Schizosaccharomyces pombe: one gene and its partners. The protein of the gene in region 1 interacts with the protein of each later gene in a biochemical or structural test. Each region holds a gene or a part of one and is shown on either strand. Other genes may lie near its edges.

Region 1 (4,349 bases):
CGGGGGACCTCAAGGTTCTTGGACAGATAGTTGGTCAACGCGCTGGAATCCTGCAGTTTTTGCTAATGCTGGTTTTATTGTATTTGCTCTTGATCCTACTGGATCTACAGGTTATGGACAACGTTTTACCGATTCCATTGCTCTTGATTGGGGTGGTAAGCCATATAAAGATATTGAACTTGGTGTTGAGTACATAAAAAATCATCTTTCCTATGCTGATTCTGAAAAAATGGTTGCCTTAGGTGCTTCCTATGGTGGTTACATGATTAATTGGATTCAAGGACACCCTTTAGGTCGTCAATTTCGTGCACTTGTATGTCATGACGGGGTATTTAATACCCTCAATACTTTTTACAATACTGAAGAACTTTATTTTTCTATTCACGATTTTGGGGGTACTCCTTGGGAAAACAGAGTTATCTATGAGCGCTGGAATCCTTCAAATTTTGTGAATTATTGGGCCACTCCTGAACTTGTAATTCATAGCTCAAAGGATTACAGGCTTACCGAAAGTGAAGGAATAGCCGCATTCAATGTTTTGCAGTACAAGGGAATTCCTAGCAGATTACTAGTCTTTGAAGACGAAAACCATTGGGTCATTAAACCTGATAATTCCCTACGTTGGCATAAAGAAGTGCTTTCGTGGATTCTTCACTATACTAAAGATTGTAATGCCAATGAAGATGAAACGTTTTAGATTAATTTTAATAATACAACTACGATTATTTAATAAATTTTTTTTTGTTTCTCTCGATCTTTGTTAATTCTATTACCGCGGATAAAAAGTTGCAACCGCGGTTTATCCGAAGACATATCAAATTTAGATCTTTGCTGTAAGGGAAATCGAGTATTCACCGATCCAGCCATTCCTTAGCCAACATTGCATTAAATTTTTAGAGAGTCGATTTAGACTTGACTACCTTTAATTTACTTAATAATGCCGGAATACGAGATTCAGGTGCCTTCTTATAGAGCTGCTGCATTAACCGCCGAAGAACGTACACGATTACTTGCAAGACCCATTCAGAACACTCAAAAAATTCGTACGATTGTCCAACCGATAATCGAGGATGTTAAATCAAGAGGAGAAGCTTCTCTAATAGATTATGCTTCCAAATTTGAAAAGGTTCAATTGAAGTCGGCTGTCTTAAAGGCTCCGTTTGACGACGACTTAATGAAAATATCCCCAATGATTAAAGAGGATATTGATATTGCTTTTAACAATATTTTTGCTTTCCATTCATCACAGCTGCGTCCTACAATTGCTGTTCAAACCATGCGTGGTGTAGTCTGTCAACGGATGTCTCGTCCTATTAACCGAGTTGGTCTTTATATCCCTGGAGGAACTGCAGTGTTGCCATCTACTGCTTTGATGCTTGGAGTTCCGGCGAAGGTAGCTGGCTGTCCTCATGTAGTGATTTCTACGCCAGTCCGAAAGGATGGTACGGTTGCGCCTGAAATTGTATATATTGCAAATAAAATTGGTGCTGAGGCTATTATTTTGGCAGGCGGGGCGCAAGCAATTGCGGCCATGGCATATGGAATATCCGGTGTTCCTAAAGTTAACAAAATTTTTGGCCCTGGAAATCAATTTGTTACAGCTGCAAAGATGCATGTTCAGAATGATTACGGGGCTTTAGTTGCTATTGATCTTCCTGCTGGTCCCTCAGAAGTTTTGGTAATAGCAGATGAGACCTGTAATCCTGAAAGTGTTGCCTTGGATTTATTGTCTCAAGCAGAGCATGGTTTGGACAGTCAGATCATTTTGCTGACTGTCTCTCTATCTCCCGAAATGTTTGACCGTATTCAAAAAGCAATTAATGATCACGCTTTACGACTTTCTCGTTCGTATATCATCAAACATGCTATCAAGAAGTCGGTTATTGTACAGGTTGACAATGTTGATCAAGCTTTTGAATGGTCTAATTTGTATGGTCCTGAGCACTTGGTCTTGCACTTAAAAAATGCTTCTTCATACATTCCCAAAATAGATAATGCTGGTAGCGTTTTCGTTGGTCCTTGGTCACCTGTAAGTATGGGTGACTATGCGTCTGGTACCAACCATACGCTTCCTACATACGGGTACGCCTCTTCTTATTCTGGCGTTAGTACCGATAGCTTCTTAAAATATATCACTACCCAAGAGCTCACTGAAGAAGGAATCCAGCGGTTGGGCCCTACTGTTATTCGTCTTGCTGAGTTGGAGGGTCTCACTGCGCATGCCGATGCTGTTCGTGTTCGGGGAGTTAGACTTTGAAAGGGGTTTCCTTTTTACGTATACCTAATTAAGGATTCGGCTTAAAATAAAATTTGTGTTTGGTACTAAATTTGACAAAGTATTTTTAGGTTATGATTTATTTTATTTTATTTTATATTTTTCAATTTAATTTTAATAGTATGAATGGGCATCCAATATACTGAGTAATTATCCATTAATTCAACCTGAAGTTAGTTGGTGTCGCGTCGCGTGTCTCGACTTTTTTCTAGTGAAAACGAACATTCCCTTTAACCAAACCTGCAATTAAGCGTTACGGGAATTTTAACGGAAACGATCATTAAATAATGAGTTATTCAGTTTCAGCTGCTCAATTATGGTCTCGCAAGTTGGCAATGCAAGCCGAAGATATGCAACAGCATCAAAAGTCACAGAGCAATCAAATTGCTAGTTGTTTGGCTGAAATGAATACCAAACAAGAGGTAGTTAATCAAACGATCGGTCAACTAGGACGATCTATTAGTGAAGTCCAACAACAAAATTCTCAACTAGGTAAGTGAGATTTAGAATTTCCCAAGTGGTTGGAAGTCTGACTTAATAGTACTACAATCTTTGAATCAAATAAACATGTCTATGCAGCAAGTGGCCTTAGGGATTCAAGATTATGCCAGTCGTATCAATAAGTTGGAACAGACCATGTCAGATATGAATTTGAAATTTGAAGCTTTACAAAAAGAACAGAACAGTAATACAAAAACACTAGCTGATTGCACAAGCCAGATGACTATAATCACTAAAAAGCTAGATGCAGAGCTGAAAAAGCGTTATATGACTACTAAACAAACACGAACAGTACAAAATCAAACTATGCCCAGAAGTAATACAACAACGAAAAAGCGAGTACTGGCTATTGATTTCTTAGCAGATGACGATTATTAAAATACTTAGATCAGCCTCATTTAAAAGCTTTTCTATGATATCAATTAAAATTAAACACCAATCAAACCGTTTTTTCATAGTGAGCGATGCAATATATTCACTTTCAGCACATATTAAACTTGCCTAAACGCTGTTAGTATGCAATGAGCAAAAACTGTTGATAGACTTATGAAAGCCCAAATGATTGAATACTAAAACCCCTTGAGTTTACAAAGATTTCTCAGAATGAATTAGCTTGGTCACCGAGCAGAACTCTCAGACGGCACTTCCTATATAAAATGTTAAGCTTCTTCTTTTGTCATCACAATAGAATTCAAGGAATTTTCAGTTTCTTTCATTTTTGAATACCTACCTAGTTGAAATTTTTTATAGACAGTCCTTTTTAAAAAACTTCAAAGATTTTTACGAAATTATCTATATGCACTAATATAGCTGTTTTCAGCGTTGATGGCACTACGTACGTTTAGCGGTTTGCCAAATTTATAGCTTCGAAACAACGTGACGGCTTTTATCAACTATACGAGAGTCGAGCTTATTAAACATAAGCTTTCGTTAAAAAAAAAAGATAAAAGCATGAATAAAGCTACATATTGTGATTTATGGATTGGTTTACTGGTTTTGCTCAAAATCATAGTAAAAGGGTAGTTTCCTATTGTTGTGTAATCGATAACTTTTTCTAACATTTTGCCCTTCTAAAACAACTTTTCATATTATAAGCTATTCGTTTTACTGTTTAAGTTTCAGTCCAAAAATTAAGACTAATTTAAGAAGAGAAAATTATAGGTGACTATTTGTTTCCTTGTGTTCGTTTGTTGTATAGCGAACTTTATAGATTACAGCAGTTAGAGCTGCGGCAAATTAGTTGACTTGTGTTCTTTGCAACATTAAACGAAAACAGCAGGCAATACACAAATATACGTCCGTAGCATTTATCGTACAAACTTTCTAACGAAGCTAGTATTGCAATTTTTCTCCATATAAAAATTCAATAAAATTAATTAATAAAATTCAAAGTATTGTTTTGTGTTTATTCAATCTTGAAATCATTTAAAAGTTAAGTAAAAACCAAAAATTCCAAACTCCATCTTAATGTGATGCTTCTGACACTCATATTGTTACCGCCCTTTTAATTCACTCAACTTAGTATTCTTATGCAACGTACTGTTAGAAGTGTTTACACTGTGTTGCGTGCGAC
Region 2 (5,765 bases), on another chromosome or scaffold:
TTAACAGGAACCTTAGAAGAATCCATTATCCTCTTGATATGTATAAGAGTGCGTGGTGTTTAGGAAGAATGTATAATGCACCGCCTAAAATTATGGGGAACATTGTGACTGCTTTTTCGACATTGGTGGTGGTAGTTAGTAAACGGTACATACCGATGCGTGCGTGAATTGACTGTAACGCCATAGCGTACAAGTAATCCGTTACTAATAATTAGAATGGATTTGGTTAACCACTTGGAAGATCGGTTACTTTTTGCTGTTCCCAAAAGTAAGTGAAGCTTTTAAAGAAGCACAGTCTTGATTCCCTTTACATCTGTCCAAAATCAAGGATCTATAAAATTGATTGGACTTTAGATATTTCGGGAGATTAATGTGTCTTCATGCGTTTTGCCTTATAGTTATTATACATACTGACTCATATGCATAGAGGGTCGTTTGTACGAATCCTGCGTGAATGTCTTAAAGGGATCTGATATTAAGTTTCGTCGAAATCCTCGTTTGGACATTGCCTTAGTACAAAATCTGCCAATCGCTCTGGTTTTCCTTCCTGCTGCCGATATCCCTCGTTTTGTTGGTACAGGTCGTGTCCACCTCGGAATCACTGGTCAAGATCAAATCGCTGAAGCACGTCTTCGTATTGGCGATAAGCTTAAAATAGAAGAGTTGGTTGATCTTCAATTTGGTGGTTGCAAGTTACAAGTCCAGGTACCTGAGTCTGGAGATATCACTAGCGTTGACCAACTCGTTGGACGCCGAATTGTCACATCTTTTGAATACTTGGTTGCCGAGTATTTCGACAAGGTCGAGAAGAAAGCGAAGAGTGAAGGAAAAGTTGACTCTGGTATAAAAACTGAGATTAGCTTTGTTTCTGGTAGTGTCGAAGCCTCATGTGCTTTAGGTATTGCCGATGCTGTCGTCGATCTAGTGGAGTCTGGTGAGACAATGCGTGCATCTGGCTTGAAGCCCATTGAAACTGTCATGTCTACCAGTGCTGTGTTGGTGCGGTCCAGCAATTGTTCTTCTGAACTTGAGCCTTTACTTCAAACCATTATCACTCGTATTCGTGGTTATATCATCGCCCAGCAATATGTTTTGGTTAACTACAACGTTAACCGTGAACATCTTCCTGTTGTTCTTAAGATTACACCTGGCAAGCGTGCTCCAACTATCACTACTTTGGATGAACCTGGATGGGTTGCCGTTAGCAGCATGGTAGTTAAAAAGGAAGTGGCCCAAGTGATGGATAAGCTTTCTCAAAACCATGCTCATGACATCCTTGTATTATCAATTGATAATTCACGTCCTTAGATTTGTCTACTCACGCCTACAATTTAGAATGTTAATTAGAAAAAGCCGCTTTGATCCTCAGCATTCACTCGTGTCTTTTATATGGTTTGTGATAACACCACGTATCTATCTGTCCAACAGTACATTCTTCCTAAATCACTTATTTTCTTTGCCTTATATACTTACTTATTTTTCTGTAAATAACGTTTTCATAGACCTTTTAATTTGCATTCGATCTTCGAACGTTGATGTAAAGAGACCGGTTTATCCTCTAATTTTAATTATATTTAAATATATAAAAGTGTCTTTTTTTCCTTACTAATTCAGTTTTCGTTGCAGTCGTTCGACACTTTAACTGACGATAAATATTAAAGCAGGTCAGCTGCGGTGTGTTCAGTTTCAATATATCAAATGAAGAAGATGTTGTAAATGTATCATTTGGAAAACGAAATTGGTTCTGATTAAGGATTGGTTGTAAAGTTGCAACTTCTTAAGGAGGTGAATTTAACACTTTAAATAATTCTATTTTCGTTTATCTTTCCTGTTTATAGGTTTGAAATTCATAATGTTCGTAACAATTTTTTTTTCATTACCCATTGTCGATAATTATTATTCAAAGTAAAAGAGTTGGATTGACTTATTGCCAAGTTCGCTGTAGAATATCTTTTCTCAAAATATGAACCATAATTACTTTTTTTAAATTCACTACTTGATTTCTTAGTATTCTAAAATTTATTTACTTTTCAGTATGATCAAAGTAACCGTCACTTATCGATGGCCTGAATAAATTGTATGCGTAGTCTTCGTGTACCAACTACCAGCTACGCGTCCAATATACAAGTTTCACGCACAATCAACTGAAACCGTTTTACGTATTTAATCCTATTTATTATTCCAAAAAAAATCTATTAACACTTAAACGTAACTAAAATATGGACATATTTTCTGAGTTTCTCAATTGTTTGAGCTCAGATGGCACTCTCAATGAAAGTAGTATTTATAAAACTTATCAAATTCTTGAATCGTTAAACCCAAAAGATGTTGATACTAAAGAAAACTACATAAAATTATCAAACACGTTTTCTACGCTAGGCTCTGGAGTGGGCTTTCAAGACAATTTATTGATTGAAATGTTTAAAATATTAACTGTTTTGTTTTTTAAGACTAGATCTACTGATTTGGGCGATTTGTTAATTGAAAGTTTTACTTCCCTAGAGATTGAGAAATTAATGAGGGTGAAAAAAACAATAGGATCGATTGTGCTTACTAAAGGAATACAAGAATTGCAAGAAATTGAACTGCCGAAAGTCGGTTTTAATTGCATGACCTACGATGAATCTATTTTTCAGGGGATTTCCTTAGAGAGATTGATTCTCCAATTGATGTCAATTTTCATTGCAAAATGTGAAGAAAATAAGTTATGGCTTGTTAATAACAGAAAAGATTTAGATCTTCGAGTAATTGGTCAACGCTTGCTTCACAGGGATTTCGCATGTCGCTTCTTAAGCGGTCTATTTATTTCTCGCTTCTCTGTTTCTGGAGATACTGATGAGAGTAAACATCAAAATGGCATTCGCCTTCAACTATTTATTGATTTTTCTAAATTTGAAACTCGTTTGACTATGCAAATTTTGAAGGCGGACCGCATTTTTTCCACCTGTGTTGCCAATACTGTCCATGCTTATGAAGGTTTATTTTCGTCGGGCTCAAATATTGATTCAACAATAGCTACTCTGGTTTTAGAGCCCCGAGATTTAATCGTTTATAGAAAAGGATTTGCTCTGTTACAAATTCCTTGGACATCTGTCACGACTATCGATAAGATTAAAAAAGTCAAATCTCTAAAAATTATTACTGAAGTATCTTCCCTAGATGAATTTGTTTTCCAATGTAAGGATGGCGATAAATTTGACGAGCTTTTTTCGACTTCTGAAGAAATCATGAACAAACTGTTACCAGCTATAATTGTTTCTCCTAAATTGACATTAAGGAACCGTTCAATAATTCAAATAAAAGAAGGAGAATCAAAGCTTCCTAACACTTCCAAGCAAGCATCCCAGAATTTACCGCATTTAGATGATGAACTGGCGTACCAAAGATTTGAGGATCAGGTCATTGACAAGAGTGTGTGCGACGATGAGTGCACTAACACTGAAAATACTCCAAGTTCAAACATTCCTGCAGATGTGAAAGATTCTTTATCAGCCGATGACTATGCTTATGATACAAAACGCAAGACGCAAATTGAGGATCTCGAAGAAGACCAGAATAAGAGTAAGATAGCTAGCAAAGACGGAACCAATCTAAAAGAAATCAATTCTGTTCCTGAATTTTCTGATGAGAATGTAATCAATCAAACGGGGCCCGCCAAAAAGACACCGGTTCAAAGAAGAAAAGATGGAAAGTTTGCAAAATCGACAAAAAGAAAAAAACAAAAATCTTTAAAACCTGATACTGAAAATCAAGAATCTTCGGTGAAAAATAAAAAGGCGAAATCCAATGTTAATTTGCAATACAGTCCGAAAACCCCCATTTGCAAAATTAACGACGAAACCTTGAAGCCTCCTACGATAGCAAACATTGCAGGTCACAAACAAATGAACCATTTAACTTCGGAGAATATTGAGACTCCAGTTCCTGTACCGAATGGAAATTGGTATAATGGTGTAAAGCATGAAACAGCTACAGATATCTTTACTACTTGCCATGATGGAAATAATAGTCTTAAAAGCTCCGTATGGAAAGAACTTCTTAAAGAGAAACATTGGAAACAGGAATCTAAGCCTCAACTTACTGGAAATAGTCGTCAAATTGATCTCTCTACCTTTGTTAAACAAGCAAATACTCCAAATATTACCAGTCTACTAGATGGTACCTGCTCAAGCCCGCCTAATAATGAATGTTTTAATGACAAGGAGCCAGACTCAAGTAGCAGTACGCTGATATCAGATCGCCAGGAACTTGAGTACAGGAATCCCAATGCGGAAACTGTCAAGCTCGAGGAAATACCCTACAACAAATTTTTTAAGACAGTTGAGAAGAACGAAGCATACAATCCATCTAGCAAATCTGCTACTATTGATGGTTTACAACGTTATACTTCTATGATAGGAAATCAAATATACGAGGGCATTTTACAGAACGAGAAGGAATTGAGGTCAAAGCTTGAGGCTTACCACATAAATTGTAACAAAGTGATTAAGGAATTTTCGAAAAGACAAACTGCTAGATATAAGATCATCGAAAAGGAATTGGCGCAAATTGAAGTTAATCTGGTCAGCCAAATTGACAGTTTGATGTTTAAGTAGCTTGAACCTATAGTATCAAATTTATTGATATTGGCTTATATTGACATATTACTTTAAAACAATTCACATTGGAAGCGTTATATTTTATTTACGTAAAGCAAGAAACACGAGAAAAATAGGTATATTATCAAATTCATTACCTAGTAAACGTAAAACTGATGAACTTGAACGTAGCAGTTGGATGCATACGCAGAAAAAAAGAAAATTAAAAGATTTGCTCCAAAAGAAAACATAAGTTTACCTGTAAAGAAAACCTTTATATGTTAAATAAATGATTATCGAAGAAATAAACATATCAATGCAGAAGACAGGGGTATAAAATAACAGGGAAAGAAAACCACTTTTAAAAGTTAGAAGTAGGACGTATAAGTCCCTTCAACCAGTTATTCTCCATCTCCAGTTCACGAACACGAGTTTCTAAAATGGCGACTTTCTCAGTCAACTCTTTAGCAGTGCGTTCCAACTGTTGTTCTTTAAGCTTCTTCTTGATGCGAAAACGAGCGCTAGCAGCGGTATTTCGACGACGTTTATCTTCCTCAGCAGCAGTACGGATGGCAGAAGTAGCTTTGGTGCGTTTACTGTTAGCATTGGGAGACTGAGCACCCTTATAAGAAGAAAGACTAGGGGAAGATACAGATGCTAAATCAGGACTGGCAAAAGTGGAAAGGGGATTGGTAAATGCGTTTTGATCAGCAAATGAAGAAACGGGAGCTTGTAAAGGGGTATTGTTAATAGAGCTGCTAGCTTCAGAAGTCGGGATAGCAGTCTGTCCAACCAAAACTTGATGTTGTCTTGCAGATTGATCAGGTAGTAACTTGGAGGAAGCTGAACCTTGGAGAATTGAGGAAGAAGAAACATTATCCTTGGAGGCTGAAGCAACAGAAGACTTTTGCTCAAAGAGCTCTCGTTGAGACGAAGTTTTTTCTTGAGTTTCCTTTGAATGATCAGGTAGGGTTAGGAGTTTCTGCAAGTCGAGATAAGCAAGATCAATTGAAGCAGGATTAGCAGAAGAAAAATTTCCAGTTGCATTCAAAGGGGCAGAAAAGGTATTGCTAACTTCTTCCTCTTTAACTTGCTGCAAAGTCGAAATTTTTTCGGGATTCTGTTGCTGCACGTTCTTTTCCTGCTTATTGGAATTGGAAGAACCTGAAGGTTGAGAAACAAATCCAT
Region 3 (5,498 bases), on another chromosome or scaffold:
CGTCTAATAGATAAGCCAATATTTTAGGCACCAACGAAACAATAAGATTATCTTCGGTCAAGCTGGATTTTTGCAGAAACAAGTATTCTGTAGGTTAGATAGGTTAGATATCACAAATTCAATAAATGTGGACTTACCATCTTTAGTAGATAGTTCGTTGTTAGAAACCGGAATAAAATAACCGGTATAATGTTTATTTATTTGAGTTGACATATCGCGCAAAGAATCAAGATTTTTAAACGAATTTAAGTTGTCGATAAAAATCGAATTAAGACTAGGTATAAAATTACCGGAATAGTTGGAACATTCAACCAAAACCGATTTGACAGCATTCAAACGATCAAGCTCAGCTTGTTCTAAATCTTTAAAAACCATAAACTGGAAAGGGTTAGCAAATGAAAGAAGAATAATGCTCAATACCAAATATAACTCTAATTCATGACGGCATTGCTCTAAATTGTCATAAGCAAGGTTGTACTTTTGTAAAACAGGATCATCATTAGTAGCTGTTATAGGATCATTTACTTGAAAATATGGATCGACCTCAAGAATACTCAAATGATAACTTTTCAATAGTTGCTGTGATTTTGTAGTAAATTGAGCATCTATCTCCGGATCATTTTCAAAAACTCGACGAATGCCAAGTAACCTTATTAAGCCATGTTGTATCAGCTGGTTTCCAGCTTTAACGACATAAGAATCTTTTTCCAAACCAAATGTTGTCTTGATGGCTTCAAATAGAAGAGAGCAGTTTGTAACAAGTTCGTAGTCACCGAGATGAGAATAAGATTTTCTTTTAACAGTAGACGCCTTCATAAGCTTTAATAATACATTGGCAAATTCCTCAGCGGTATATGGATGATCAACTATGTTTATCAACCCATCAAACTTATTAACGTTAGAAGGATTAATATCCAGCTGAGACAGAGCAGAAGCAAGAGAATCGGATTTATTAGATTTTCGAGAGGTAGGAATTGGCTTTCGGTCGGTCAAATTAGACTTCTTGCTGTTTACATGAGAGAAACGTGAATTGTAGTTGTTTATTTTGACAATTGCGGCTGAAACGATTTCATCTACCCTTCTAGAATATTTCTTTGACCAATTTGCAAAAGGATTTATTACCAATATATTTAATTGCTCCCCAAGCTTCTTGTGCAACGACGCTTCCTATTGTAAATATTAGCGATAATGACCATAAGAGTAACGATTGAAAGTATACCATTAAATAGCTTTCATAAAGCTGGTGTATGGCTGCATCAGAAGGAAGATCATTGCTTTCTTCATTTAAAGGATGGTGCTTATTGAATTTTGAAAACGATTTGAACAGCAAGTCAGAACAAGATGAAGCTGACTTTGCTCTAATATGTAACAACTGTAATACTAAACGTATTGTTAAATCATTAGTTATTACAAGAAGAAGAATTCATGTGCATACGCTTTTCGTTTTGTTCAACACCTTCGTTGATTAAACGTTGGGCACGATTTATTCCCGTAATATAATCCCTTGACCAGAACGAATTTGAAAAGCCGTCCCACATATCTTTTTGATAAAAATGTCTGATGTACAATACACTTAAGTATATCTATGTACTTCTGTTGAGTGCCAGCTAATTAATAGATTAAAGGTAGTTACAAAAGAGTTCTCTTTTAATCTAAAAACGTTAGTTTAAAAAATATTACAGATAAATCAGTAAATTGACATTGAGGATTAGAATTCTCCTACAACTCCAAATAATCCAAGAAGGACTGAAGGAAAAACTTCTTCAAAAAATCACTTACAAAGAAAGCGGTATTAAATATTATTCACAGTGATTAATATGTAATTTTGGTTTTGTAAAGAGTCATGTAGATGTTGGTATTTAAGTGGGTTCGTCGCGACGAGATGTAAACAAACCAAATTACATAGTGCAGTACAAAGCATCGTAAACTGTAATGAATGGCACAAATACTGAAGACAATAGTAAACAAATACTCATACAGACAATGTACACGTACGATTCGTCGGGAGAGACACTGAAAATAGCAATAGCATGGAAGATAATTTTAAAAAAACCGAAAGGAAAAAATATCAAAGACTACATAGAAGCATTGCGGAAAGGAATTGAGGATCAGGAACATTGCGAAAAATACGCGTCAACATTATTGGAACCGCGCCCAAAGACGAAAAAAGATGTTGTTTTGAAAAATAGTAATGTTACAGAGTGTGTGGCTTTAAAAGCCAAACCGTTCTCTAAAAAAATCGAGGATATGGGTAAGTACTTGCACGATGCTTATTAAATCCATCAATACTAGGCCGGTATATCTTCTTATATCTAAAGCATTAGTTATATTAAAGAAAGCCTTTTTGATCTAAAATAGTATGAATTTTCTTTCGTTAACAATCCAATCTAGATATCTTTTTGCTGACCAATGTTCACGAGAATCTTCAGGAAAAGAGGCAAACATCCGGAAGCCTTGCGCATCTGGATATTGAGTACACGTTTAATGGACTTTTTCGATTCTTAAAATGCACTGCTGACATAAAGTTGAAGCAAACAAAAGTATACGAGGGTGCGGATTTTTTGCGCATTAAAACTTTATTCGAAGAAATTTTTATGTTTCTTAAAAGAGATTGTAAGTCGCCGTTGGTTTTAACAAGACTAGTTGAATTGGGAGATTATGTACTGGATCTCATTATAATCACGCAGTCGATTATGCAAAACAATGCCAACAATGGAACTGGAGTGATTTCCAGAGCGAAATTTTTGGAATTTTACGTATTTTTGGAGCAACTGATATTTAACAAGCTCTCATTCGCTTCCGTAGAGCAATTGGAAAAATTACTAGATCAAATTGTTAAACGGATGAAAATATGCTTCACATATTGCAAAAACGATAACCCATCTATCCGGTTGTTATATAGTGAATGTTTTTTTTCGTACGCTGAGATATACTTCCCTTGTCTACACTCCTTCGATGCTCAGCTTTCATCTGCCGCAAGCAAATGTGTCCAAATCTTAAGAGACATAATCACAAATGAAGAATTACAAACTGATAAACAAGAGTTGTCTAAGAGTGCCTACTCTGCTCCATCCATCCTTTTGATTGGCCTCAAAGATATGCTATTTCCCGAAGACATTTCCTAATAGTAATATATTGAGGGCCACTATTTAACACACATTCATTTCTTGCCTTTCCAATTTGACTCCTTTTGTTATCCTAAAATATTCACAACATTTGGTGGAATTTTTCTGGAAATTCAATGTACAAAGAACGTTGTGGTGAAAGTGTTGATCATCATATCCATTCGATGAACTTTGATATTATGTTCCCTTTTAAATCTTGGGCATAAGGGAAAGGTTTTCTGCTTTTAAAAATTGATGGATAAAAGAAACAAAGGAACAAAAAAAGCGAATATATAGTGGCCAATTTGTATTATTTTCAAGTACAGAAGTGCTTTCCAAATTCGTTTACAAGAAACTTTGGAATTTCAATCAACAAGCTATGTTTCTTCTTTTCCAATAAAGCGCATTTAATACAACGCGTTGACAACAAGATTATTGATCAAGTAAAGGAAATTTATCGCACAAGCCTTCATTCATAATCCGCGATTTGATCTATACGCATTGCTATCCTATTCCTTACGAGGGATAAATCGAAGGAAGTGATAATGGATAAAACCACACAAGCTCCAGAGAATTGAAGGTTTTTCAGCTATAGACCTAACTAGAAGAACAGGGATACTTACAGGGCTTATTAATATTCAACATTAAAGAGCGTCTTATCGATTCCTTGTCAACTTGATATCACCAACAGTTCTATGCACTACTAACTTTATGTCACACTGCGTTACATGTCATTATAAATAATTCCTTTAGTATTTCTTATATTCTCCACTAATTGGAGTCATCGAGAGATGACCGGACTTTTCCTACAATAATTTTTACTTTTATTTATGTTTTAAAATACTCAAAATAAGCATGATTGAGCTTTTTTTGCTTACTCTCAACATGTGTCAGTAGGAATCCGTACATGATCTGATATGATAATTTTACTGGCATCAGAAACTCTATAACCACACACAGCTTACTTGAACGGGCCTCATTTGATGGAATCATAGAAGCAATCACAACTAAAAACGATAATGATTGAAAGCGTTTGAATGCTACGTTGGCGGAACACAATCACACATACTGTCAGCCTTCAATAATTAAATAACGCAACCCAACAAAGATGCCTAAGGTAGAGGGACTAATGCGAGAGGAAGCCATCTACGCAGTATGTAAAATATTTTAAGGAGTTTGTATAGTTGCTAATTTAACAACGATATACATAATAACGAAATATGTTAGTGATTTTTATATTTGTATAAAATAATACCCTGGATAATTTTGTATTTATTAACTATAGTACTGCTACACCGTAATATTATATTAATTAGTATATCCATTGGAACTAAATTGAGTAACTAAGAATTAGTCCGACCTAATAAACGCTAATAGTCAATAAATTGGCTTAGAATTGTCTGAGATAATAAACTCTTTTAATATTTCAAACGATGAAAAGTTTCGATTAAGAACTCAAGAATGAACAGTAATGATTGATTTAACGTAATATAGCGCAGTTAAACGTTTGCCGACATCTTAGGTCAATGTATTTTCTAATACTAATAGTGCTTGACTCACTGTCTTTTTGAGCTTCTCTATAGATTAAAGAGGTTTTAACCTTATCATGCCAGTCTTTACCAAGGAAGCTTTGGAACGGCTTCCTATCCAATTAGGAAACTTTTTTAAAAAGTTTCCGCCTGAAAATCCAAATGCATGGACGACAAATCCAAATCGTCAAAATCCGTTTCTCGCAACTCGAAATCCTCAGAATGGCCTTGTAATCAACCCTTACTATTCCAATAGAAGGCAAGCTGAAATATATAAAGAGGCCAGGCTTCAGAATCTGGATAATTTACTCCCCCAACAAATGTCATGGCAGAAAGATTCTACACGCCATATTTTGAAAGGTCTTCTGAATCCTAAAGGAAAAATTAGTGAACGAAAGAGGGATGAGATTTTGGAAAATAGGCGTTTAAAACTTTCGGAATCATTGAAGAAAACTTCTAAATTTAAAAATGAGCGCGTATGTAAACTGTTGTACTTTCATGATTTTCTTATTTCTATCTACTGATTTTGATTGTGAAAAATTTACTATTATTATTTTTTTAATTGTCTTTATTAACACTCTTTTTAGCAAAAAGCTAGCAAAATAGCGAAACCTTCTCCTTTCTAAATTCTTCTTCTGCAAAGTGGGTTTCACGTAATACTGTTAATACCTTTTGATTCCTGTTTGTTTATGACTTCCTTAAATTTTTTTAAAGATTCATTTAAATTTACTGCTATATTACCTCAATTATGTGTTTACTAAAAGTCTTTTATTGTGCAGCATGATAAAAAGACTAATATACTAGTCTATACATTTTTGTAATCTTTACTAATAATATGATTCTACTTTAATAGTTAAATTACATT

What was found.
Region 2: the proteins of rec15 (region 1) and rec10 form a complex in vitro, tested with the Schizosaccharomyces pombe proteins (one study listed by BioGRID).
Region 3: the proteins of rec15 (region 1) and rec24 form a complex in vitro, tested with the Schizosaccharomyces pombe proteins (one study listed by BioGRID).

The regions. Positions count from the first base shown.
Region 1 is NC_003423.3:2,158,980-2,163,328, forward strand, and holds rec15 (meiotic recombination protein Rec15), read left to right. Parts: upstream 1-2,507; 5' UTR 2,508-2,562; coding exon 2,563-2,767; exon of another isoform or gene 2,768-2,816; coding exon 2,817-3,154; downstream 3,155-4,349. Other genes in the region: ppp16 (acylpeptide hydrolase), read left to right, coding at 1-697; histidinol dehydrogenase His2, read left to right, coding at 938-2,257; SPOM_SPBC1711.15C (uncharacterized protein), read right to left, coding at 3,134-3,232. UniProt on the Schizosaccharomyces pombe protein: Required during the early stages of meiosis for meiotic recombination.
Region 2 is NC_003424.3:4,300,232-4,305,996, reverse strand, and holds rec10 (meiotic recombination protein Rec10), read left to right. Parts: upstream 1-2,103; 5' UTR 2,104-2,219; coding exon 2,220-4,595; 3' UTR 4,596-4,630; downstream 4,631-5,765. Other genes in the region: rps2801 (40S ribosomal protein eS28), read right to left, coding at 1-26; his1 (ATP phosphoribosyltransferase), read left to right, coding at 217-268, 428-1,308; DNA-binding transcription factor Zip1, read right to left, coding at 4,939-5,765. UniProt on the Schizosaccharomyces pombe protein: Organizes linear element components on chromosomes and is thus required for meiotic DNA recombination.
Region 3 is NC_003424.3:4,993,657-4,999,154, reverse strand, and holds rec24 (meiotic recombination protein Rec24), read left to right. Parts: upstream 1-1,974; 5' UTR 1,975-1,983; coding exon 1,984-2,251; intron 2,252-2,391; coding exon 2,392-3,125; 3' UTR 3,126-4,363; downstream 4,364-5,498. Other genes in the region: rga9 (RhoGAP family GTPase-activator protein), read right to left, coding at 1-87, 138-378, 421-1,167, 1,220-1,380, 1,436-1,538; mrpl25 (mitochondrial 54S ribosomal protein mL59), read left to right, coding at 4,711-5,109, 5,221-5,259. UniProt on the Schizosaccharomyces pombe protein: Required for correct meiotic chromosome segregation and recombination. Accessory protein required for Rec12 activity, which is involved in formation of the double-strand breaks (DSBs) that initiate meiotic recombination.